Linked DNA regions of Rhinolophus ferrumequinum. The protein of the gene in region 2 interacts with the protein of the main gene of each other region in a pairwise test. Links are inferred from orthologs where the notes say so. Each region holds a gene or a part of one and is shown on either strand. Other genes may lie near its edges.

The links. The genes of interacting proteins can lie anywhere in the genome.
Region 1: the proteins of DISC1 (region 2) and SH3BP5 interact in a two-hybrid assay, tested with the Homo sapiens proteins (2 studies listed by BioGRID and IntAct). The link is inferred for Rhinolophus ferrumequinum from reciprocal best matches to the Homo sapiens genes DISC1 and SH3BP5.
Region 3: the proteins of DISC1 (region 2) and SMC3 interact in a two-hybrid assay, tested with the Homo sapiens proteins (2 studies listed by BioGRID and IntAct). The link is inferred for Rhinolophus ferrumequinum from reciprocal best matches to the Homo sapiens genes DISC1 and SMC3.

Annotation. Positions count from the first base shown.
Region 1 is NC_046300.1:31,250,938-31,258,885, forward strand, and holds the start of SH3BP5 (SH3 domain-binding protein 5), read left to right. Parts: upstream 1-4,867; 5' UTR 4,868-5,104; coding exon 5,105-5,242; intron 5,243-6,982; coding exon 6,983-7,045; intron 7,046-7,948. UniProt on the Homo sapiens protein: Functions as a guanine nucleotide exchange factor (GEF) with specificity for RAB11A and RAB25. Inhibits the auto- and transphosphorylation activity of BTK. Plays a negative regulatory role in BTK-related cytoplasmic signaling in B-cells.
Region 2 is NC_046310.1:25,365,125-25,372,685, reverse strand, and holds the start of DISC1 (disrupted in schizophrenia 1 protein), read left to right. Parts: upstream 1-4,486; 5' UTR 4,487-4,683; coding exon 4,684-4,741; intron 4,742-7,561. UniProt on the Homo sapiens protein: Involved in the regulation of multiple aspects of embryonic and adult neurogenesis. Required for neural progenitor proliferation in the ventrical/subventrical zone during embryonic brain development and in the adult dentate gyrus of the hippocampus.
Region 3 is NC_046299.1:16,764,171-16,771,659, reverse strand, and holds the start of SMC3 (structural maintenance of chromosomes protein 3), read left to right. Parts: upstream 1-4,408; 5' UTR 4,409-4,558; coding exon 4,559-4,573; intron 4,574-5,651; coding exon 5,652-5,727; intron 5,728-7,489. UniProt on the Homo sapiens protein: Central component of cohesin, a complex required for chromosome cohesion during the cell cycle. The cohesin complex may form a large proteinaceous ring within which sister chromatids can be trapped.

The DNA.
Region 1 (7,948 bases), on a different chromosome or scaffold from region 2:
GGAAAACAAGTTATTCTTTTCACAAAAATGGCTGAAGAGCATTTTAGACACGGTGGCGACCCCTCTGTTCACCTACAGACCGGAAAGTGACACCCCTTGAGCATGGCAGGATTTTCTGTGAGTGTTTATTAAACAAATTCAAATTTCTCTCCACATCTACAGAAATAGAGACATCCCCAAATGCTCACCACTGCAAAGGGTGAACGAAATAAGGGGAGGGTCTCTGGGCTGGAGACCTGCTAACTCTATAGTTCAGGGAGGAGAGGCTTGGATTGTAAATGTGTGACATTAGTGAGGAGGTAGGGTTACAAAAGGAGAGGTTGATTTTAATCCCATGAAAGAAACCAGAGCATGACAAATAAGGACCCAGTATAGAGGAATATGTAAACCCAGGCTCATCCTGCCAGATACCTTTTTTCTCCTCCTTTCCAAATTTCACCCCGCTGTTTTAAATGGACACCAGGACAGCACAGAGGCTGTGATTTTCACCTAGGAAGATCTACAACATAAGGAAGTGGTGGGCAGGGAATAAACACATATAGTGTATTTACTCCCAGTGTCCGGGTTTAAACAAACTGCAAGGAGGTAGTAAAAATAAATCGACAGAGAGTGTGGCTTCCAAGCAATGCAGTCCTCAAAGAAAGACTTTTTTTCTTGAGTGTGGTTTTCTAGGATCCATCAGCTCCAAGTGAAGGGGTTGTTTCAATCTAGTTGTGGAGGACGCAGCTCACCGTGGCTCATGTGGGGATTGAACTGGCAACCTTATTGTTAACGGCACCGCGCTCTAACCAACTGAGCTAACTGGCCACCCCAGTCCTCAAGATTTTTAAGATGTCAGCCATCTCCCCTCACTGCCCACACTGCACAAAGTGATCAGGCCCCTGCCGAGAAAGTGTGGCTTTGATACAGGTGTGCCCCTGCACTGCTGGGACCCACCCAAAGCCTGGCAGGCAGAGATGGCACTCAGAAACCACATCACAGACAAAGCACTTAAAAAGCTAACCGTTTCCTCCAAAGGAGCAACATTATAATTGGGTGATGAGTTCTTCATAGGAATTGACAAAATACAGATCCTAGGAAATAAACAAAGACATGATACATGAGTGGCACCTTATCTAACCATCTCTTCAATCATTTAAAATTGTTAAAGTCTTTTAAAATGGGCAATAATGTACTGTGCCTGTAATACTCCACCAGTGTCCAACAAGGGTCTTGGGTGGGGGTACACATCTTTTGAATGAAGGAGGAAGTGGAATATTGAAATACAAATAAAAAAGGATAACAAATTTAGAACACACAGGTCCTCTCAATCAGTCATTCTCAAATTTTTTGGTTCAAATACTCCTTTATATTTTTAAAAAATGATTGGAGATGTCTGAGAGCTGTTGTTTATGTGGTTATAACTACTGGTGTTACTGTATGGAATTTTTAAGACAACATTTTTTATTAATTCATCTAAAAATAATAAATCTGTTTGGTGTTAACATAAATGTATTTTTTATGAAAAATAACAAGTTTCTAAATTGAGAAATAGTTTTCAAAACAAAACAAAGAGTGAGAAGAGCACTGTTTTACATTTTTGCAAAACTCTTTAACGTGTGGCTTTGTAGAAGACAACTAGATTCTCATATCGTCTGCATTCAATCGGTTTTGATATCACGTGTCTGCTCCTGGAAAACTCCCATGCATACATACTTGTGAGAGAATGAGAGTGAAAAAGGCAAATATTCTGTTAGTATTAGCACGAAAGTAGTTTTGATCTCAAGGGCATCCTGAAAGGTCTTGGAGACCTCCAGGGGTGTCCAGCCCACACCGTTAGAACCACTGTTCCAGATTGATAGGCTAGCTAAAATAAATATCAAGCATTTGCTTGGCTTACGAAACATTTACATGGCTTGCCTTCTTGGTATGTGAAGCAGCAGAATTTATAAAATTGGCCCATTTCCTCCTCCCTGATGAACATGCTCTTGTATAATTTGGGGAATTTGTGAATATAATGGGAGAGTCACTGTGGGGACAGAGCCAGGAGTGCAGTTTCCAGGCTCTCGGCCTCATGTGGAAAGGTGCTGGCTCAGATAGTAAATGGCCATCAACTGTGATTGGATGGCCATCAGCTGTGGCTAGTTGGCCATCAGCTGTAACCAGTGAGCCATTGGCCACTAATATAACTGCTGTGGCTACGCTAATATAAATGGGGGCTAGCAAGACGATGGTGGCTGGCAAGCGCGGATTGCAGTTAGGACGGCAGGCTGCGGCCAGTGTGGCTCCTGCTTCCTGTGTCTCCAACCCAGCCGCCAGCAAGACTATAGTGGTATGACTCCCCTACCTATGGCTCCGTGGGTGTTCCTTTTTGGCCTCACCATGTCCTGCGTTCTTATGTGGGGAGCGGGACCAGAGACCCCGCATGCCACCCTGCACGACAGTCACTTCCATGATAATAGGTTATGTATATGGATGGCACAGTTGACTTTAAGAATGGGAGACTATTCTGGGTGGACCTAATCTAATCAAGTGAACTCTTAAAAGGGATGGGCTCTTCTTGAATAATAGATTGAAATGTGAGATTTCATGTAATTGAACACCAGCAAAATTCTCCGTTGCTGGCTTTGAAGGTGGAGGGGGTCATGTGGCAAGAAATGCAGGCAGCCTCCAGCATCTTAGACTGGCCCTTGGCTGGTCGTCAGCAAGGAAACAGGGACCTTGGTCCTACAACCACAAGGAACTGAATTCAGCCAATAACCTGAATGAGCATAAAAGGATTTCTCCTCAGAGCCTCCAGAAAGGAATGCAGCCTGGACACCCTGACATCCTCATTGAGCCTGAATACCCTGAGCAGAGAACCTAGTCATGCCGTACCTGAACTTCAGAACTACGGAACTGTGAGGTGATGAATGAGTATTGTTTTAAGCTGCTAAATTGGTGGTAATTTGTTATACAGCAACAGAAAACTAATTCAGTATGTATTATTTTAAATTTATTTTTAAATTACACAAATAATCATAAATACATCCTCCTTGTAAAGAATAAAAACATCATTGAGAGATTAAAGTTCCCTTTGCCTTCCCGATCCCCATCATAGCCAATGTTGAGCCCCTCTCTATCCCCTTTTCCCAGGGGTATAAATATCCCCTTTGCTGGGTATGAATCCTTCCACCAGACCTTTTTCTATGCATTTATATGCATATATATGTACCAACAGAAAATATACAGTACTGCTGTGGTTTATGTGTTTTTCTTATTTTAACTTTAGAACACTATTGGGATTAATGCTATAACTGGCCCAGGTCTCCTAAAAATAAAACAACAGAAGTCTAAATCGATGTTCTAGCACAGTTTCCCTATATACTGTGGAGGCATTTGAACCACTCTTGCTCTTAGATCTTAGCATAAATAAAAATATATTTTAGAGGTTGTTGTTGAAGATGGGGGTCCACCAGCTGACAAGCATTTAGAGTCAGGGCTGACTTCGTTTCTGGTTTTTGACCTCTCTCGCTCAGGTTATTCACAGCTAGGTTAGGAAGAACCTGCTCAATTATGGGCTCAAATCCAAGCCACCAGGGAAACATTGGTGGCTCATGTGTCCCAAAGTTCCCCTTAATGGCCATCTTGTCCCTGCCTTTATCCACCACTGGAAAATCAGGGAACTTCGGAAGATTTTTTTGAAGAATTGCTGAGTCTCTCTTGATTTAAAGAACAACGAATAGGTGTGATCTTTTCAGAAACAAATCTATGGCACACACCTATATTACTTACCTTTAGGAGACAGGATGAAATCTCCTTTGACAGTGGACCACAGCGCCAGTGTGGATAGGGTGGTACCTTGCCCAAGGAATAACACCCCAATTTAGCTTCTGATGAAACTGTCAGAAGCAAGTTTTCCAAGGTGGCTTTAATGATAGGCTCTCAGAAAGAAGCTCTTTCTTCAAGCAAGTTTGTCCTCCATACTCAGAGCAGATGGGCCACAGCCTCTATATAGAAAGTGTACACATTCTGCATTTTGTAATGATGGAGACATTAGCAGTGGCCAGTGGCAATGTCCTTTCTGCTTTGCTAAGGTCACCTCACCTTGTGCTCCCCTGACATCACAGTAGCCCTGACATTTTATAACAGCACAGACATGCTGTTCTTTGGCCTTTTGTGATGTTGAGTTTGCCAGGAAAGCTCTGGCTGCCCACTTGTTCTGGGTGGGCAGGAAACCTCACCAGTTCAGAAATCCTTGGAGGGAACGTGCCCATTCACAGGACTTACACTTACCACCTCCTTGAAAAGGCTGTGCCCACCCACCCACACCTCTGATCCATGGATTTTCCATACCTCCTAGCTATTCAGGTAGGACCATCCCACAACTGCCCAAGTGTTTGGTATGGAACTCTGCTCAGTGGGATTCCTTTGGAAAAGTGATCCATGCATGGAGCTGCAGCTGGTTCTCCTCTGTACTTTTGTGTCTATGTGAGCATACGTTTCTGTTCCCTTTTCCGAGGAAATCTTCAAGGGAATACAATTCCCAAGGTTCACCCAAGGGGAGAAACGTGCTTTGGGCAGTTACAGACAGGGGTTTGAGTGAGTCTTGAAATTGGTTCACGGCCACTGAGTACAGGCTTCTAAAGGTGACTTCAGAGAATGGAAATACCCCAAACTTTCCTTCCATATAGTCAATTTGCCTTAGATGAGGAAGGAGGGAGAACAGTGCCCCAAAAGTAGGCGGCCAACATTGGGTACTTTGTGATATATTCGGTCTGTTAAGTTAAAATGGGGGTGAGGGCCCTCCTATTTCGCCACGCTAGAGGTTTTTAGAGAGTTGGGTTTTTGTGACGAGACCTGGGTTTTGGGGACCGGCGGAGGAGTGAGAGTCAGAGCAGCAAGGAGGGTGGCCCCGGCGGGACGAGGGCGGAGCGGGCGCCGCTGCGCTGACGGCCGCGGCAGAAAGGGGGCGGCCGCTCCCATTTCCTCCTCTCCGCCTCGGCCGGAGCGGCTCCCTGGTGTCGGCTGCGGCTCCCAGACCGTGCCGAGCTGAGACCGGCGGGCTCCGGCCGAGCCTGCGGCGGCCGCCCACCCTCCCAAACGTCCCGAAGCCCGCTGCGCTGTTCGCGATCCGGCTGCGGGTATGGACGCGGCGCTGAAGCGGAGCCGCTCGGAGGAGCCGGCTGAGCTCCTGCAGTCGGCCCGGGACTTGGAGGAAGAGGAGGAAGAGGGGATGGAGCAGGAGCTGGAGGAGGAAGAAGAGGTGGATCCCCGGATTCAGGTAGGACGCGCGGAGGGCGCCCCGGATCCCCGCTTGGCGAGGGCCGCCGCGGAGATCGGCATCCAGTGCCTGCGCTCCGGGGTGGGGGTGCTGGCGACGTAGGTCCGGGGGCAAGAAGAGAGAGGCTGAATACTGTTTCACTGGGTTCATCGGGAGGCTGCAGTGCCCTCATGGATGCGGCCTGAATATGTTACCGGGATCCCCCCGCAGACCGCGGCAGAATCAGGGGATCGCTGCAGCGTGCCCAGCGGTTGGGCGGATGTGCAACAAAGGGAAAAAGGGGGCGGGGGCGCCACGCGGGTATCCCGGGTATCCCGGCCAGGCTCGCCACACCGCTGGCATTGCACGGCCTCCTGGCCCTGGAAGGAGGGGTCGGCTGCCGGGTGGGCGTTGTCCGCCCCTGCAGCGTGGGCTGGCACTGGTGCCCTGGGTTCTGAGTCCTCACCTGGTGGAGGTGCCCGGCTTGAGCCATCTTTCCTCTCCTTTGATTGTAACCAAACTGAAGGGTTTTTTTTTTTCTCCTTTTTTCTTTTTGTCACTACTGATTCAACCCTCCACTTGGCCTCAAATGATTTAAAACCTAGCTTTTCCTTTTTTGAGGTCGGGTGTGAACAGAAATCAGGAACAACTGATGCGCAAAGCTGACACGGGGAGAAGGCGAGGGGATTGGCCTGGACCTCTGCACCTCCATTTGTAAGGGAGATGATTAAAAAACAATTTCCAAGCCAAGATCTAGGGTTGACCGCTTAACCTTTTCACCCTCTAAGCAAAAAGCAGAAGTCCAAGACTCGTTTTTCCTACCTTCCCATAAATCATGCACACACACACACACACACACACACGTGTGTCTCTCTCTCTCTGTGTGTGTACACAATATATATTGCTTTTAAGTATGCTTTCAATTCCTGGAACCCGCCCTAATTGGTTTTTCAGTGCACAGATCAATTAAAAGCTCATTTAATTCAGCTGTTGCAGTTTAAATGAATTGTTTTGGCAGATTGGCAAGGTAAAGATCAGGTGGAAAAAAATCTTTGTATCAGAAATTTTATTAATTAAATTAATCAGTTTGGACTAGTATCTTGTTTTGTTGGTACAGGAATTCTGTTAACAAGATCCTTTGTTTGCAGAGTAAAATGAGTTGACTTCATGATGGGTGCTTTTTATAAAATTTTAGTTTGTAAATGTTTATTTAAAGGTAGTTTTTTTTAAAGCTAATGTTTTTGTTTGTTTTTTTAAAAACACCTAGGGAGATTGAATAATTGGCAGTTTGAAAAGATTTTCATCTCTCTACAAAAATACTCAACCACCAATGAGTTAATGCCAGTGTTCTGCCCTCGATTTAAATCATTTCACTAGGTTTATACTTTTGGCTTGGCTTTGTTTCTTTTCTTTTCTGCAAAGTTCTTGCTGTAAGGCAGAAGGTACTATTTTGATATCAGCCCTTAAATGATTTGTAACAGGTGGGTTTACCTGAAGGCACAAACCTGGAATAAATATTTAACCTCCTAAGAAAATCCCTATGACCGTATGACATTTTCAAAAGGGACACCATCAAGCAAAGGTTTCAGAAATGCTGACATTCATTTCTCTTCTAGCCAAGGCTCAACTATTTTTCTTGAGAATACTGACACTTCCTTCTTCCCAAATTGTGCTGGAGTAGTTTTGCAGGTCATGGGCTGAGTCACTTGGAAACAAAAGACAAATCCCTTAAATCTTTTTTCTGCCTCTTTTCTTTGTTAGGGAGAACTGGAGAAGTTAAATCAATCCACGGATGACATCAACAGACGGGAGACTGAACTTGAGGTACTGAAGGCCAGGTTCCTGTTCTTGGTGAACTGGTGTCTGTCCTGCTAACACCAGAATGGTTAATTTTGTTTTAATAGTTGGAGGGTGATTGCTGGTGTCCCCTCCTCCAGTTGAGCAACAGCCTGCTGTCTGACAGAATAAACTATACGGCTGAGCCCAGCTTGTGGGTGGAACACATGTGGATCCAATTTCACATGTTGTTTTTTTATTATGGAAGCTCTGTGGGGCCAAAACCAAGGGCTTTACACATGCCTAAGCCCTGAAGTTAATGTGTCTGTGGAAAAGCTAAAAGAACTAAGGTGAAAATGAGCTGAACTCTTTAATGGAGAAGAATACATGAGGTCACAAAATCTCTTTAATATTTTAGGGCAGTTCCTCATATTGTACTTGGAAACATTGTGTGTTTGCTCAGACTTAAAACCTTTTTTTTTTTTTTGACTCTCCTGCTCTAATAATTCACCCCCTTCTACTTCCCTGCTCATTTCTTTATTGTCTGCTTGTGTGTAGAATATAATTATTTTAATGGTAAGCAAAAGCTGTTTAGACGGAAGGGCTTTCCTGCTGGGAAGAATCTTGGGAGACAAAAGTTGATTTGAATTTCAGGGGCATCTTCCAATCTGTGTAAACAGATTAGTATTCTTCACAGCTACCAATTAGTCCCCATTCCTTTTCAGTAGTGGTTGGTTTTACCATCAATCAGCAAATTTGAATATCCTCCGCATATATCTGAGAGCCTGTGAATGACTGTCAGAGAGCTGAAGGAATGCAGGGAGCTGTTGGGAGGACCTGTTTCTGTAGCAGGAGAAATAGCAGGGAAGGTCAGTGGAAAAGGCAGGAAACATCTGGTCCCAAAGAGTGAGGATGCAGGAGATAGAAATGTAACCTACCAGCAATACACTG
Region 2 (7,561 bases):
CATGTAAACGTGGGTGCACTGGGGAGCAGGTCTGCACAAAGAAGCAGGGAGGAGAGCAATTGACTTTTCAGAAGTTGCCTCTCATCTTCCTAGAGCAGTGGCTCCATGATGCCTGTGGACTCCCCCAGAGTCCCCTGTATCCTCACCAATATTCTTTTCACTTAAATTAAAGTCTACTGGTTTTGTTGAGTTGCAATGAAAAGAGTCCTGATTAATACGGCATTGCGCTGGAATGAGAGCTGTCAGAAAACTAAAGAAAGACTTGTGTAGTAGCCATGCCAGAGATCTGCAATGAGTAGGTCTGTAAGTGGGCGTTCCATTGGAGAAGCAGAACCACTGTGAGTTGTGCATAAGGCACATATTATAGAAGTTAGGCCTTTCACAATTGTGGGAGATGCTGCGGAAGCAAAAGTCTAAAGAGGGTGGTTGAAGAATCTGAGAAAGATCTTTAACCAGAATGACATGGGTGGCTGAGCTGGAGCTGCAGGAAACCTGGAAGCTACGCGTCTCCAGCTGAGAGAGTAGGGCTGTGAAAGGCGCTGGTGTAGAGGTTGTGGAAGGAAGGTTGCTGCCCTGCGGGCGTGCAGTCCAGCATCTGGTGGAGAGCCTGGGTTGTCAGGTGGCGGTCTCAACTTCCAGTTAAATGGAATCATTGTGTGCCTGTTGGTGGAAGCATCCCTCCCTTTGGAACCAATACCTCTAGGCCAGCAGGACATAAAGTTGTGGGAACAGGAAGCAAAACTTTTGCGAGTGGATCATGAGGGCTAAGAGTGAGTGGTCCACTCCCATCTCCATCTCTTGGTTCCTGGACCCCTGAATCCTGGCTATGGGAGAAACAGCACCTTATATTGGACAGTGATTCAGAGCATGTACAGGGAGCCTCCTGCAAGGTATTGCGCCTAGCTGGCACTGTGACTGAGTCCTCAAAAGGCCATTCCATTGTTCTATCAAACCACTTGCTCAGGAAATTAGGGAACATGGTAAGACCAGTGAATTTTGTGAGCATAGGTCCATCACTACACTTCCTTCACTGTGAAGTGAGTTTCTTGATCAGAAACAATGCTGTGTGGATAAGGCATTCCGTAAGTCCATGGATGGTAGTTTTGGCCAAAGCGTTGTGTGTAGAGAGAGAAAATCTGTACTCAGTCATTAGTGTCAGTTCCAGTAAGAACAGAACGCTGCCCTTCCATGATGGAAGTGTTCTCATGGAATCAACCTGCCACCACGCAGCAAACTGGCTGGTCACCCTGGGCAATGGTGCCATGCTGCTGGTCTCAGCTGCTGACAGATTGGACACGCAGCAGTGGCCATAGTCAGGTTGGCCTTGTGAGTGGAATGTGTGTAGCTGAGCCCATGCATCACTCCTGTCCCTGCCACCATGGCCACTTGTTCTTGAGCCCATTGGGCAGTGTCAGGACTGGCTGGGGAAAGAGACTGGTACCCACAGGACAGGTCATCCTTCTGCTTAAAACCCTCCTCTGCTGAGTCACCCCTTGGTGAACATTCACAAGGGACACAAATATCCTCAGGTTGTTTTGCCCAGTCAGAGAGGTCTATCCACACGCCTCTTCCTCAAATCTCCTTGTCACCAGTTTTCCGATCATGTTCCTTTCAAACTCCTGACCATCCAGCCACATTAGCCATAGTCCATGAACTGTCACACACTTGTACCTCTGGCTATTTTTTCTTTCAAGCAAACCAAACAACAAGGTTCACTGCTCCAAGATCTACCCACTGGGAGGGTTCTCCTTTACTACGGTCTTTCAGGGATGTCCCAGAAAGGGGCTGCAGTGCTGTGGCCGTCCACTCTTGGGTGGCGCCTGATTATTGTGCGGGACCATTTGTAAACTGCGCCTGCCTTTTCTCTTCCTCAATCGACTAGTCATAGGGACCTCCCCGTGAGGCCACAGGTGCAGGCTGGGCAAAAGAAGGTGATGTAGCAGGAGTGGAGACCGTGGGCATGTGGGCCACGTCCTTCTGCAACTTACTTGTGACTTCAGGGTCTGCTTGAGCCTGATCTCGTATCTACCGCTTCTATTTGATGATAGAGGGCCACTGCGCATGCCTAAGTTTACCACTTTGGGTCAGGCAGCACCCAGTTCATACTGGGCAGCCCAGGTAGCATGGTAACGTGGTGGTACATGGTTAAAAGTTCATGGCTAACAGTCTCTAAATGAGAGTAGTTATCCACAGAGGCTTTGCTCCAAAATCCTAAGGGCCTGTGATATGATTCACACATACGGGCCTGACAAATCCTCCCTTAGCGTCTCTAGTACCCCTGACACTTCAAGCACCACTGGATCTGCTGGGTCCTCTGCCCCAAAAGGCAGAGCAGCTGGCATGGCAGCCAGACCTGCTGCAGAGCCTTCTCTTATTCTGGGCCCCACTCAACACCAGCAGCTTTTCAGGTCGCTTGGTGAATGGACTTGAGTAGCTCACCCAGGTGAGGAATATGTTGCTACCAAAACCCACGGGGCACCATTAGCCGTTGTTCTTCCTTTTTTTGGTTGTAGGCAGGGCACATACAACAACTTATACTTCACCTTAGAAGGGCTGCCCCACACCACTCAACCACTAGAAAATCCACTGGCATGGAGGCCCCTAAATTCTTGTCAGACTTATTTTCCACCCTCTGACATACAAATGTCTCACCAATCAGCCTAGAGTAGTTATTACTTCGTGCTGACTCCGTCCAATCAGAATAATGTCATTAATGTGACAGACCAGTGTGAAGTCTTGTGGAAGGGAAGGCGATAAGGTCTTGCTTGACTAAATGATGACCTAGGGCTGGAGAGTTGTGGCACCCCGGAGGTAGGATGGTAAAAGTGTATTGCTGGTCTTGCCAGCTGAAAGAAAGCTGCTTTTCTGGTGGCCTAATAGGTAGGGAAAGAAACATTTGCTAGATCAATAGCTGCACACCAGGTATGAGGGGAGGTGTTCATTTGCTCACACAGTGAAACCACATCTGGAGTAGCACTTGCAATCTGGTTAAGTTGATGACAACCCACTGTCATTCTCCAGGAATCATGTGTGTCCTGCACAGGCCACACAGACAAGTTGAGCGGGGATGTAGTGGGGATCACCACCCTGCGTCCTCCACGTCCTTGACGGTGGCACCAGTCTCTTCAGTCCCTCTTGGAATGTAGGATTTCTTTTGGTTGAGTCTTTTCCTAGGTGAAGGCAGTTGTAACGGCTTCACTTTGTCTTTCTCACCACAATAGCCCCTACTCCACAGGTCAGGGGACCAATTTGGGGATTCTGCCAGTTGCTCAGTACTATCCAATTATGCACTCTGGAATGGGGAAGTAACCACAGGATGGGTGCAGGGACCCCCTGTGAGACGAACCTGAGCTCAAACTCCTGTGAACACCTGACCTCCATAAGGCCCGACTGACTGGTGGGCCACAGGGATGTTTTGGGTCTCCTGGAATTAGTGTCAGTTCAGAGCCAATGTCTGGTAATTCTTGAAAAGTCTGAGTAATTCCTTTTTCTCCAATGCACAGCCACCCTGGTAAAAGGCCACAACCCTTTGGGGAAGGCTAGAGAAGAGATTAACAGTGTAAATTTTTGGCAGTGTCTTTCCTCAAGGAGGCCAACATTTCCATTAATTAATTTTTGGTCTGTAAACTGACTCTAGTCTGGGAACTGATTGAAGGGCCGAATCTCTCTGTGTGGGAATTCAAGTCAGGCTTTCATTCACTTGACCTAGAACTTTTCTGCTTACACAGACTAAGTACGAGCTAGTAGATTTCCCAGCTGTTTGACTTCTAGGAGCAGCATAGACTGGCTTGCCAACTTGGCCGGTCTGCAGGAGTCACCAATCTGATGGCTGCTTTGACTCTGCCATCCATTACAGACACCATGTCCCCCTTGCCTTTGGTGATTCATTGCCACCATTTGGCCCCTGCCATCCTGGAACCAATTATCCCCACTGCATTTAAGGATTCCAGTTCAGAGGCCACAGTTTCCACTGTAATTTCTGACCTACAGAGAAGAGTGACCAAGGGTGCTGGGCCACAAGTTATTTCTCAGAGTCCTGGTGAAGGGTGTGTGGTCCGCACCCTCCTGGAGTGGGTAAGCAGTCTTACTTACATGATAACCCCTCTAACATTCCAACTCCCCAGGCCTCTGACACTTCCTCTACAGCATACCACGGCAGTGCTGGCATTGCCACTTCATGTGGTAGGTCACCTCTTGCTCCAGGTTTCAGTCAACTACCCATCTTGTAAAAACCAGTCCCTCTCGTCCCCTCCTCTCTTCCGTCCACCCTTTGGTCACTTCCCTAATCTCGCATCTGGGAGGCGCCCTGTACACCCACCCGGAAGGCCTCCCGTCGCTCCTTCCCTGGACACCGGTTCCCCCACCGCACTTCCCCTCTGGTCGTCGTCCAGAAATGAGCCGGAGTGAACAGCAAACTTGCAGCGTCCGGAGACAGGCTGTGGGCCCACCGGCCCCGCCCCAGGCGCGCGCGTGTGTGCGCGCGTGCGTGCGTGTGTGCGCGCCCGTGTGAAAGGAAAGGAGGCTGGAAACGGAGCCGCAGGGCCAGCGGGGGAGGGGGACGCCGCCGGCCCGCGCGCCCGCCCCCTCCCCACTTCCCGTCCCTCCCGGCGCTCGCGCCCCGGCGCTGGCCTCGGGCGCACAGAGCCGCCCGCCGCCGCGGAGCTGGAGGATCCGGCGGGACACATGCGGGCCGGGGGACCCCAGGGCGCCCCGGCGGGTGGCGGCGGGGGCCACCGCGCAGGTAGGTCGCTGTCAGCGCGGCTGGGCGGGGCCGGGGTCCGGGATCCGGGCGGGGAGGGCGCGCGCCGCCCCCTGGAAACCGTGTAGGTCTGAGCTGTGCCTCTGTTAGCACCTTGGCTTCGGTGCACCCCTTTCGAGGAGAGGGAAACTGAGGCAGGGCACGTGGCGCGCGGAGTTGGGAGAGAAGGGGGGTCTGGGACGACCAGCCCACGCCGAACTGAGCCAGGTGGGTGCTGAGACCCTGGCGAGAGGCACGTCCGACACGCCCCCGTGGCGGGTACTGGTGGGCAAGGAAGGCGGCAGGGGCGTGCGGGAATTTGGATCAGACCCGGGACCCCGCGCCGCCCGAGCCTCCCGGGGCCGTGCGCCCTCACCGTCCACCCGAGGGGCAGGGCCCGTCCGGCTCGCCCTCGGCCCCAGACCCACTTCTGACTCGGCGACGGTAACCCGCACCGGGCGCAGGAGACAGGGCCGGGTCACGCTGTCAACTTTGCGTTGACACTGAGGCCAGTAAGGGGATGGTTGCTTTTCAAGAATGACGGGACGTCTCCTACCATCTCACCGTTAACACGTATGCAAAGGAACCTGAGACTTGCGGCAGACAATGAGATTTGGCGTCCCGAGCGCTCCTCTGCTGTCCTTGCTAGGTAACTTCAGACACATCCCTTAGCCGCTCCCTTATCCCTTATCCTCGGTTTCCTGAGACGTGTGAGAACACGGGTGACCCTGTCCCATAGGTCTGGTGTGTATGGAAGCACTTTGCAGAATGTATGGCCATTTGGAAAATGGGATTTGGATAATACTAGAGCCCTAAGATGATTGGGGTTTGGGGACAGTCAGCCTGCATCTCAATCCTGGATGTAGTCGTGCCTCAGTTTCCCCATTTGTAAAATGGGGACAATGACAGTTCCTACCACATAGAGTTGTTGTGTGTTTTAAATGTGTCTGGATGTGACACATTAGTCAAGTGCCTGAGAGAAAGGGTAAGTTCTAAGTAACCTTAGTTACTATTTTTACTAAGCCAAATCTAAATAATTTGGGATGATACGGAAATACCAGTTTGATTTGATGAAAGTATGATTAGCAGAGTGTTTTAAAAGAAATTTCATTTTATTCCATTCAGGCATAGCACAGGAAGTCCTTTGAGGTTCAGTTGAGAAATCTGTCACTGAGTGAAAAGATGCCTGGATTGGCTTTCTGAGCTCTGTGACCTTGAGCCTCAGTTTCCTCATCTGTTTACAAAGAAGATAAAAGAAAAATGGGGAGAGTAATTACGGCTTTTGGTACTGATAGAGCTGCCTAGGATCCGGTGAGGTTAGAGGTGTGAAAGCACCCTGAAGTGAGTCACTGCTTCCAGGAGGGAATGTTAACATTGGCAAGTTTGCAGAGTTTACAAGGTGCTAGGGAATTCCTTGGATGACACCCTCCCCAAACCTTTGTGAGATAGGGATTTATAATCCTCATTCCCCATCCCCCAAAGCTGAGATTCAGGATTACTGCTTCCCGGCACCCCCTCCCCGCCCCCCAGGTCACCTAACGATTAAGGATAGAGTCAGGAGTTCTGGCAGGTGTGGCATCAAGTGCATTTCCCAAGTGCAGCTGCTGACAACTATATGCCACGTACCTTGTTTCATGGTGCTTCACTTTATTGCGCTTCACAGGGTGGCCGATTTTTACTAACTGAAAGCAAGACCTTCAGAGTCTGGCCTGCTTATTTTACAGGTGTGAAAAGTGAGGGATACAGCAGGAGACCGCGTATTAGAGTCTGAGTCCTCTTACTTGGAGCTGCTTCCATCAAGCCACGCTTTATTCCATAGTCCTGCGTAATTCATCCTGCTTAAGAAACATGAGGTGAATGGAACCAAATCCTTTCGATTTATTTTCTTGAGCCATCATGGCTCTTAAAAACTTAAAATTTCAAGCAGTTCCTTTTGTCTGTCCATTCGTTCATTGACTGTTCATTTGTTCAGCATTTATAGAGTACCTCCTTGGCTCTAATTAGAATTAGAGCCACACACTGGTACTGTATCAATTTTTGAGTTAACTTAGAGGGAAACTTGCTAAAAAAAAAGTTGTTGAACAGGCCGCCTAGAAAGGCAGTGAGCTTTTTGCCATTGGAAACATTTGAGTTAGTGTTGGGTGACACTGTGGGGAATTTAGTGGGGGGTCTGCCCGTGGGGAGGGGCTGCATGGGCCGACATGTGGGAACCCTTCCAGCTGCGGTATTCTGTGACGTGTGTCCTGGAGATTGGGATTGTCCCGGATTTGAGCTACTGTGTACATTTCCTCCCACTGCTCTTTGGGGTTTCCCATTTTGCCTCCTCCCCTAACCCAGGTGGTTCCATTTCTAGAGGTCCAGACAGCTCCCTGCAGTCAGCTGCCTGAATGCGGTAGGTGCTTTAACTCCCCTGGGTTCTACATATCTAGGGTTGATATTAATCACGAACATGATCAAGTTCATTCAGGAGAACAAATTGACCAGGAATAGAAATGTTCATTTTGACAGGTGGCCCTGCATGGAGGCTAATTACTTTCACAGGTTGAAAGGTGACATATCAAGTTTTGTGAGTGAATTGTGTTCGGAATGTGGGATCTGAGTTTAAATTTAGTTTTGAGACATGCACAGCAACCTAACTTTTCTTTTTCATACCTGTTGTCTCTGAATTTGTGAGTGGATTGATAATATGATTTGGCATAATTATTAGGTGTTATTTTTGACACTGGAGAGTATGTGTCTTGCATTTGTAAATTAAAGGATGCCTCATCTTACTCAAATACTGATAGGAAAAGGAGCACAATTTTACAGTGGGCAAGTTAGAAA
Region 3 (7,489 bases), on a different chromosome or scaffold from region 2:
CTTACACCGTAGCCCATCAACTACAGGGAAGATTGGGTCCTGAGGATGGTATATTCCTTCCTTAAGTATATTCAGTATCAATTTCTTCAATCTGACCCTAAAAGGTTATCAGAGCAACTGAACCTGGGGGGGAAAGGGGGACATCCAGATCTTTTGAGTGCTGTTAGATACAGGATCTGAGCTGACATTGATACCAGGGGAGTGCAAACACATTCATGGCTCCCCTGATAGAATGGAGGTGTTCAAAAGCCAGTAGATAAATGAAATCCTGGCCCAGGTTTGTTTCACATTGATTGCAACGGGTCCACACTTATTTTACGGTCATTTCCCTGGCCCATGAGTGCATGACCACGGCAACTGATATTCTTAGCGACTGACAGAAATCCCACATTAGTTTCCAGATCTATGGACTAAGAGCCATTAGGTAGGAGAGGCCAAGCGGAAGTCCCTAAAACTGCCTTGAACCCAGCCAAGATAGTAAATTAGAATTAGTACCACATTTTGGGCAGACTGGCAGGGATGAGTATTACTCTCAAAGGCATAAAAAATGAGGAATAGTGGTGCCCATTACGTTCCCTTTTTAATTCATCAGTGAGGTCCTTGCAAAAACCAGATGGATCCTGTCAGATGATAGTGGACTAACATCACTTAGGCAAGATGTAACTCAGTTGCCATATTGGATGTGGAATCCTTACTAGAAGAGACCAACACAGCCTTTGACACTTATGCAGCCACTCTATGGCAAATGCATTCTTTTTAATTTTCATCTGGAAGGAGGGGAGCATTCCTGCAGTGCAGGCAGCAATTCACATTCAAGGTCTTACGTTGGGGCCACGTCAATCCTGTCCTACTATAGTCTGAAAAGTCCTTAAATATCTCATCGTTGAGCAGAACATGATGTTGGGCCACTACACTAGTAATATCATGTTCTTCAGACCTGGAGGTGTCAAGTACTTTGGATACCCTAGAGGTGTCCAGAATATGCCACGGTAGCATAAAAGTTATTTTGAGGGGAAAGTATTTGAGTTCTGAAATCTTTTATCTGCCTAAAATCAGAGCCTCCCAAAAGAGCTCAATTGTCATAAATGCCCTCCCTAGGAACACCCAGGGAAATCTGACTCTTGTAATGATGTGAGATGTTGCCACATTCACTATATACAACCAAACAGACAATGTCACAAAAACTAGCATATCTTTCCTAACAGTCACTTGTTTTCCCTTAAGTGCTTTCTCTGCCCCCTTTTTAAATAATAAATCATTAGTTTTTCCGTAAGTGTCCTTCTTTCCTTCCCCTTCATCTATGAAAATGGTATATAAGCTACAAATTCTAAACACCTCTTTGAGTCAAATTTCTTTGTGAACTGTGCATGATTGAAATCTGTTGTTTTTTTTTCTTGCTAATCTGTCAGTTTGAGTTTAATTTGAAGGCCCCTCAATCACTTAAGAGGATAGAGGGAAGTTTTTTTCCCTTCCCAACAGCAGCAGACATTCATGCCAAAGATACTCAGTAAATATCTGTTGAATGAATAATGAGGGGGTGCCAGAAACATTGGTCAGTTGTCCTTTGGTGTCTTGACCTTTCAAGTTAGCTGTTTGTTGTCTTTTTCCCAGGGGCTTACTGCTTTGGTTATAAACTATGAACATTAGCTAACATTATTTCTTGTGCAAGTTGTTTTACATGAATCATCTCAATTTCTCTGCACAGAAGTTTTAGTAAGTATCATTATAATCCCCACTTTATAGATGGTATCATTATAATCCCCACTTTATAGATGAGGAAACGGAAGTGCCACGAGGTTAATCTTACCCAGGTCGTATAACCAGCAAGTGATAGAGCTGGGATGTGACATGGGACTCCCAAAGTTGAGCCCTTAGCCTGCTCATGCCACCATATTGAGGCAGTCCTTGCGTCTGCTGTTGGAAGGGCAGAGAATGGTCCCATTTTAGTTACAGAGAAACGGTGTGTCCCCAAGTCATGGAATTTGTAGATGGAGTCAATAAGACCCCAGAGTTTCCAGTTCAATGCTGAATAATAAGTACCCTTGTTCCTCAGAACATGATAGTGAGAAAAATGAAGTCATACACAGGACAGCACTTTGAAGGGGATAAAGAACTACACAAATATAAGGAATTATGATTATTGTGTGTCTATGCTTTGGGTATTAAAGACATCCTGTTCTTAAAGAGACTTTATGATCAGTGCCTCTTCCCATCCCCTCCAGTGCATCTGAGGATCAGGTGGACTCAGAGGTGGGGTTGAGGAGAAAAGTGAAAACTGAAGGAAGTGATGCTGTTGTCAACTGGATGTTTTGATGTAAAACGCCCGCAGTATTCATTTGCTTGACAATGAGCACCAGGCACTGGAGTAGTGGTTGTCTGTTTCATGGTGTCAATTACTTTTGGGAATGTCCTTTTGCCCCCAGATAGGGCATGGGTGTGATGAACTGTTCCTCCCTGCTAAAGGAGATCCATATGTTCATTAAATGCTTCCTAGAAGAGAATGATACTACCATAGGGATTGGAGGTGAATAGGATGGGGCCATGGAGAGTCTTTAAATACCAATAGCTGGCATAAATGAGTCAGGTACTGGGGTAAGTATTTTGCATTCTGCAGTTTTTCCTTCATAGAAGTTGAGTACTTTCTAGGAACAAGTTACTAAAGAAACAGCAGGAACAAGATAAAGTCCCTTCTCTTGAATTTTTATTGTAGTAGAGACAGACAATAAATATAAATAAGTGTGTTAAATTCTCAAAATCACCTTTTTATATTTTTGGTTTTTACTGATCTTTTTTTCTGTCTGTATAAATCATATAAACTAATTGTATAAGATTCATTTAATATGGAAAAGTCTAAGGAAGTAAAAATCTCATCACTGTGAAGACCATCATAAATGTTTTAGTGACCATCCTTTCATCTATATATCTATGCAATTTAATAGGATTATTTTATAAATCCTAGTTTAAATTATAAACATTAAGTGATTTTGTCATCCTCATTTTATAGACTAGGAAACGGAGGCTTAAAACTTTACTGTAGGGGCGGCCGGTTGGCTCAGCTGGTTAGAGCGTAGTGCTCATAAACACCAAGGTCACCGGTTTGATTCCCATAGGCCAGTGAGCTGCACCCTCCACAACTAGACTGAAAACAGTGATTTGATTTGGAGCTGATGAGTCCTGGAAAAACACACTGTTCCCAACATTCCTCAATAAAAAAAAAAGGTGAGCTCCCTGAAGCTCACCAAGGTGACCTGCCATGCCTTTCTCAGAAGCTGTAATTTGGCTCTCATTATAACAGAATCAAGTAAAATAAATTGCTTTTAAAAAGAAAAAAAAAAAACTTTGCTGTATTAATATGCCTAAAATCCCTGTTAGAAATTGACAATGTAGAGATGTTAATCCTGGAGAAATCTTTAAAGAGGTTGTTATTCGTTTATTTAAGTCAAGGGCTGGATAGGATTTGATCAGGTGTTGATAAGGGACTCTACCAGCAGCAAGGGGTGTGGACAGGGATGAAGTTAGTAGACTCCTATTAAAAATAGTACAATTTAGAAACAATTAGGGTCGCAACTGCCCTCAGCAGCAGGAAGGGCGCGGAGGACCAACCCACTTGAATGGCTGAGTGGCAGGTCATTTTACAGAGGCCCAGAGATGCAATTTCTAACCAGATGTTCTTCCCCTAACTAAGACTGATACAGATCAGAGTCACTTAGGGTTGCCACTAGCACGAACTTTTCAGGATGTTTCAAAATACATGTATTAATCTTGTACAAATCTCTTGTTGCAATTGTCCAAGTCTGCCTACATTTATAGCACATGGCAGAGAACAGTTCACACGGTATTGTCACACTATTAAAACACATTTTTGAGCGTCAAGGCCCTGCGGGGCTGTCCTCTGAGTGGGCTGTCCGGAGACAGTGAGGGCTGTTCTAAGTTTATAAAAGTTGAGAGAGAGAGAGAGAGAGAGAGAGAGAGAGAGAGAGAAGGAACAGCAGGGATACCGCACACTTAATTACCGATGTCACCAGCAGTCTGCGGGTTCGCGGACCAGAGCCGCCTGCGCAGAGGCCGCATTTTTAAACAGCCCGAGAACACGTGGCCGCCGGCCCGCGCTGTTACTGGCTCTCGGATTCTCACAATCGGCTTTGGCGCCGAACCTTTCCCCGCTGGTGGACGCAACCGTTGCCTCCGCGATCGAAAGGAATACGGCCCAACTTCGCGATCAAGGCTTTTCTGAATGAAGTTTCGACCTAGTCTCAGGAAAGGTCCAACTACAAATTGAAGCATCAAATGAAATCCACCTACAGAAGCCGTAGAAGGCTCCTTTTGCCAAAAGCAAAGAGCAGACTGGGCCCCGACTCCCCCTACGCTTTGTGAGGAAAGCGCGGGTGGTTCCGTCCGAGGCGCGGACCCCGCCTTCACGGGCGCCGCCATTTTGTTTGGCTGGAGGGGAGCGAGCGGTGCTTCGGGGGAGGGGTCTCGTAGGCTCCTCACCTGACCCCGCGGTCGCGCTGTTGCTTCTCGGTGGGGAAACCTTCTCCCCGGCTAGAGGCGCGGAAACATGTACATAAAGCAGGTAAGGCCTGTGCGTTCCTCCCACCCCGGCACGGAGTCGTGAGTACCGCTCCTGGAGGCGGGGGTGTCGCGACGCGCCCCGCGCCCTCTCACCTCTCGAGGCTGAGTGGGCCCGGGCTAGACGGGGGCTGTGGGGGAAGGGAGAGGCCCCGCCCCGGGAGCGCGGGGAACGCGAAGAATTGGGGCGCCCCTTTGCAGTCCAGGCCTGTGTGCAGGGTGCTGGTCGGAGGGAGGCAGGACCTCCGAGAGGTGTGGAAGGGCCGGCGGGGCGGCTTTTGTGGAGGAACGAGGCTTTCCTGGGGGGGCCCGGGTCGGGGGAGGCCGGGGTCCGGGCGAGGGCTCGGAGCTGGCTGAGGGCCGCGTCGGAGTCGCCGGAGGCCGGGAAGCTGCGTGTTTTTGCGAGGAGAGCCCCGCGCTGGCCATTCGCGGGGGGTGTGGAGAGATGTTTTCCCGCCCCGGGGGGCTCCTCTGGGGGCACAGGCTGGGGTGCCTGCTGAACCGGGGGCCTTTCTCCGTCCCGACTTAGCGGAGAAATGAAAGGGACGCTTCTAGCGAGATGTGGAGCGCCTCCTCTTTCAGTTGTTTACTTCTGTCAAAATGGTCTTCCCGCGCTGGGGTCCAGCACAAAGATGAACCCATTCACATCTTTTGGGGAAGTTTCTCTGTTGTATATTTTGGGCTCTAATCACTGTTTTCTTGTAATGTCGACTCATTTTCGCTGGCTCGTGTGTCTCTTGGAGTCGGGAAAGCTGGGGCCAGTCTGCCTCCTTCATGCGTTTACTCTCCTGTAAAGTTCAGTGTGGCAGAGAACTTTATACAGTGATTTTTGTATTTGATTTTGGGACTGACTCCCTTAACAGGTTACCAATTAAAACTCCTTAAAAAAAAAAAGCACTGGCAAGGGTTACTGATAGATTTTTAATTACCACATTCCAAAATGAATTTTTCTCATATGAAATTGAAAGTTTTCTTTCTTGCGTTTAAATGAGAAATCAGAAAGGGAAGAAGTGCAAAAGAAAAATGTTTTGAAGTTATTTCTTTGTGTGTGTTCTGAAAAATCTAATTTATTTATTTATTAGGTAATTATCCAAGGTTTTCGAAGTTACAGAGATCAAACAATTGTAGATCCCTTCAGTTCAAAACATAATGTTATCGGTAAGTATTCATGGTTTATTAGATCAGATTTAGATCTATAAAGTCATTTAAATTCTGCTTATATCTAGGCTTAAGGAGACAAGAATTATCTTCCAATATTACTTAACTTTATATACCGGGGATGCCAAAAAAATATATACAGGTGGACACTTTGTTCAACGTGCCTCAAATGGTAGTTTGCCTTAATCAGAAAAGAAGTGTCTGGACGCTGATGGTAACCACTTTGAGCACCTCTTGTAATTGCAGAAGTCAAACGTGACTTGTGTTCATCTTTTTTTATTGGTATATATTGAGTATTAACAATTTTAACATTTTCCTTTCTTAAAATGTGTATACTTTTTTTGGCACTCTAGTTTTCTGTATGAAATAACTTCATTTTTAATCCGCACTGATGAATTGCTTAGTTTATATATTTAAAATACGCGGAGAGTAGTAAGTTACTCATTTTTATTTTAGTTGCCTCCTATGTGTGTAAGTGTGTTTTAAAAGCTTTAAGTTTATAGTGAATGACACTAAATGTAGTGTTTGAGCTATTCTGTTCTTGATGTGTTATTTCCTACTTAAAATGCTCACTATTGCCTTATTTCAAAGATGATCAGTTATTCACAAATTACATTGTTTTAAGATTTTCTTTTTCCTGTCATAATGTCTAAGGTGAGAAAAGCACTATGGAGCAGTACAAATGCGATTCAAATCCCAGTTCTGGCATGTATTTTTCAAACTTATTCGCTGAGGGGCTTCAGGTTTTTTTATTTGTAAAGTGGAGATAATGATACCCATCTTCTAGGGCTATTGGAAAGATTAAATGAGAAAGCAAATGTGTGAGGATAAAGCACTAATTAATAGTGATTGCCCTACAGTACAATATTTAGTCTGTAGTTTCTTCAGATGATAATGTTCTGTTTTGCTGATACAGCCAGCAAATGTTTTCCGATGTTCTGCTGAATTTTTAAAGGATAGATGAAACGAATGTTTCTAGATGCCAGAAAAGCATGTATAGCAATTGCATAATTTTATAAATGAACTTTAAAATGAAGACCATCATTACCTCGGATGATTTAAGTTACGTCTATAAGGCCTATCAAGTATTTTTGTTTTAGCTACAGTATTATGCGACAGCTGTTTTACTACTGTACTTGGGTTGCAACATTCGGATTTTTAATAGTCATGGTTACAAAGGAAATTAAATGTTCTTTTGTTTTAATTGAAAAACAAAACATGATACGATTTTATTGGTTTAACATTTTAAAAACAGGTACTTACGTAAAATAACGTAAGAAAGACCAAATGTAGTGTGGACTGAAATTGATCCTAAAAATATCCTGTGAAAGCATACCACTTTGATTGTTTAATGATTTTGACCCTTAAGAAAACAAGATTTGAAGGCAAATATCTCTTTGCTTATGTTTGAATGCTTGAAAAATGTTTGAATATACCAAACGTATACCTTTTTAAGGTTACCTTTTTTCTAGCCTTTTAACAAAAGAAATATATATATTAATTGTAGAATATTATGGAAGAGCATAAAACCTAAAAGGAAAAAAATTAAAACTGTAATCCTTCTTCTTAGAAATAACCATTCTTAATTTTAACAATCTATACTTGTATTAGCCCCGGTTTCCTAGAAGAGTCCAAGGCCTGCTTAGCTACTAAGGCTTTAAGGAGACAAGCTTTAATGGGACGATGCAGTCTTAGGGCCAAGATTGAGTGGGAAAGCTGGTCATAGCTTTGTAGAGAAGACATAGCTGATTTTTTGTCACAT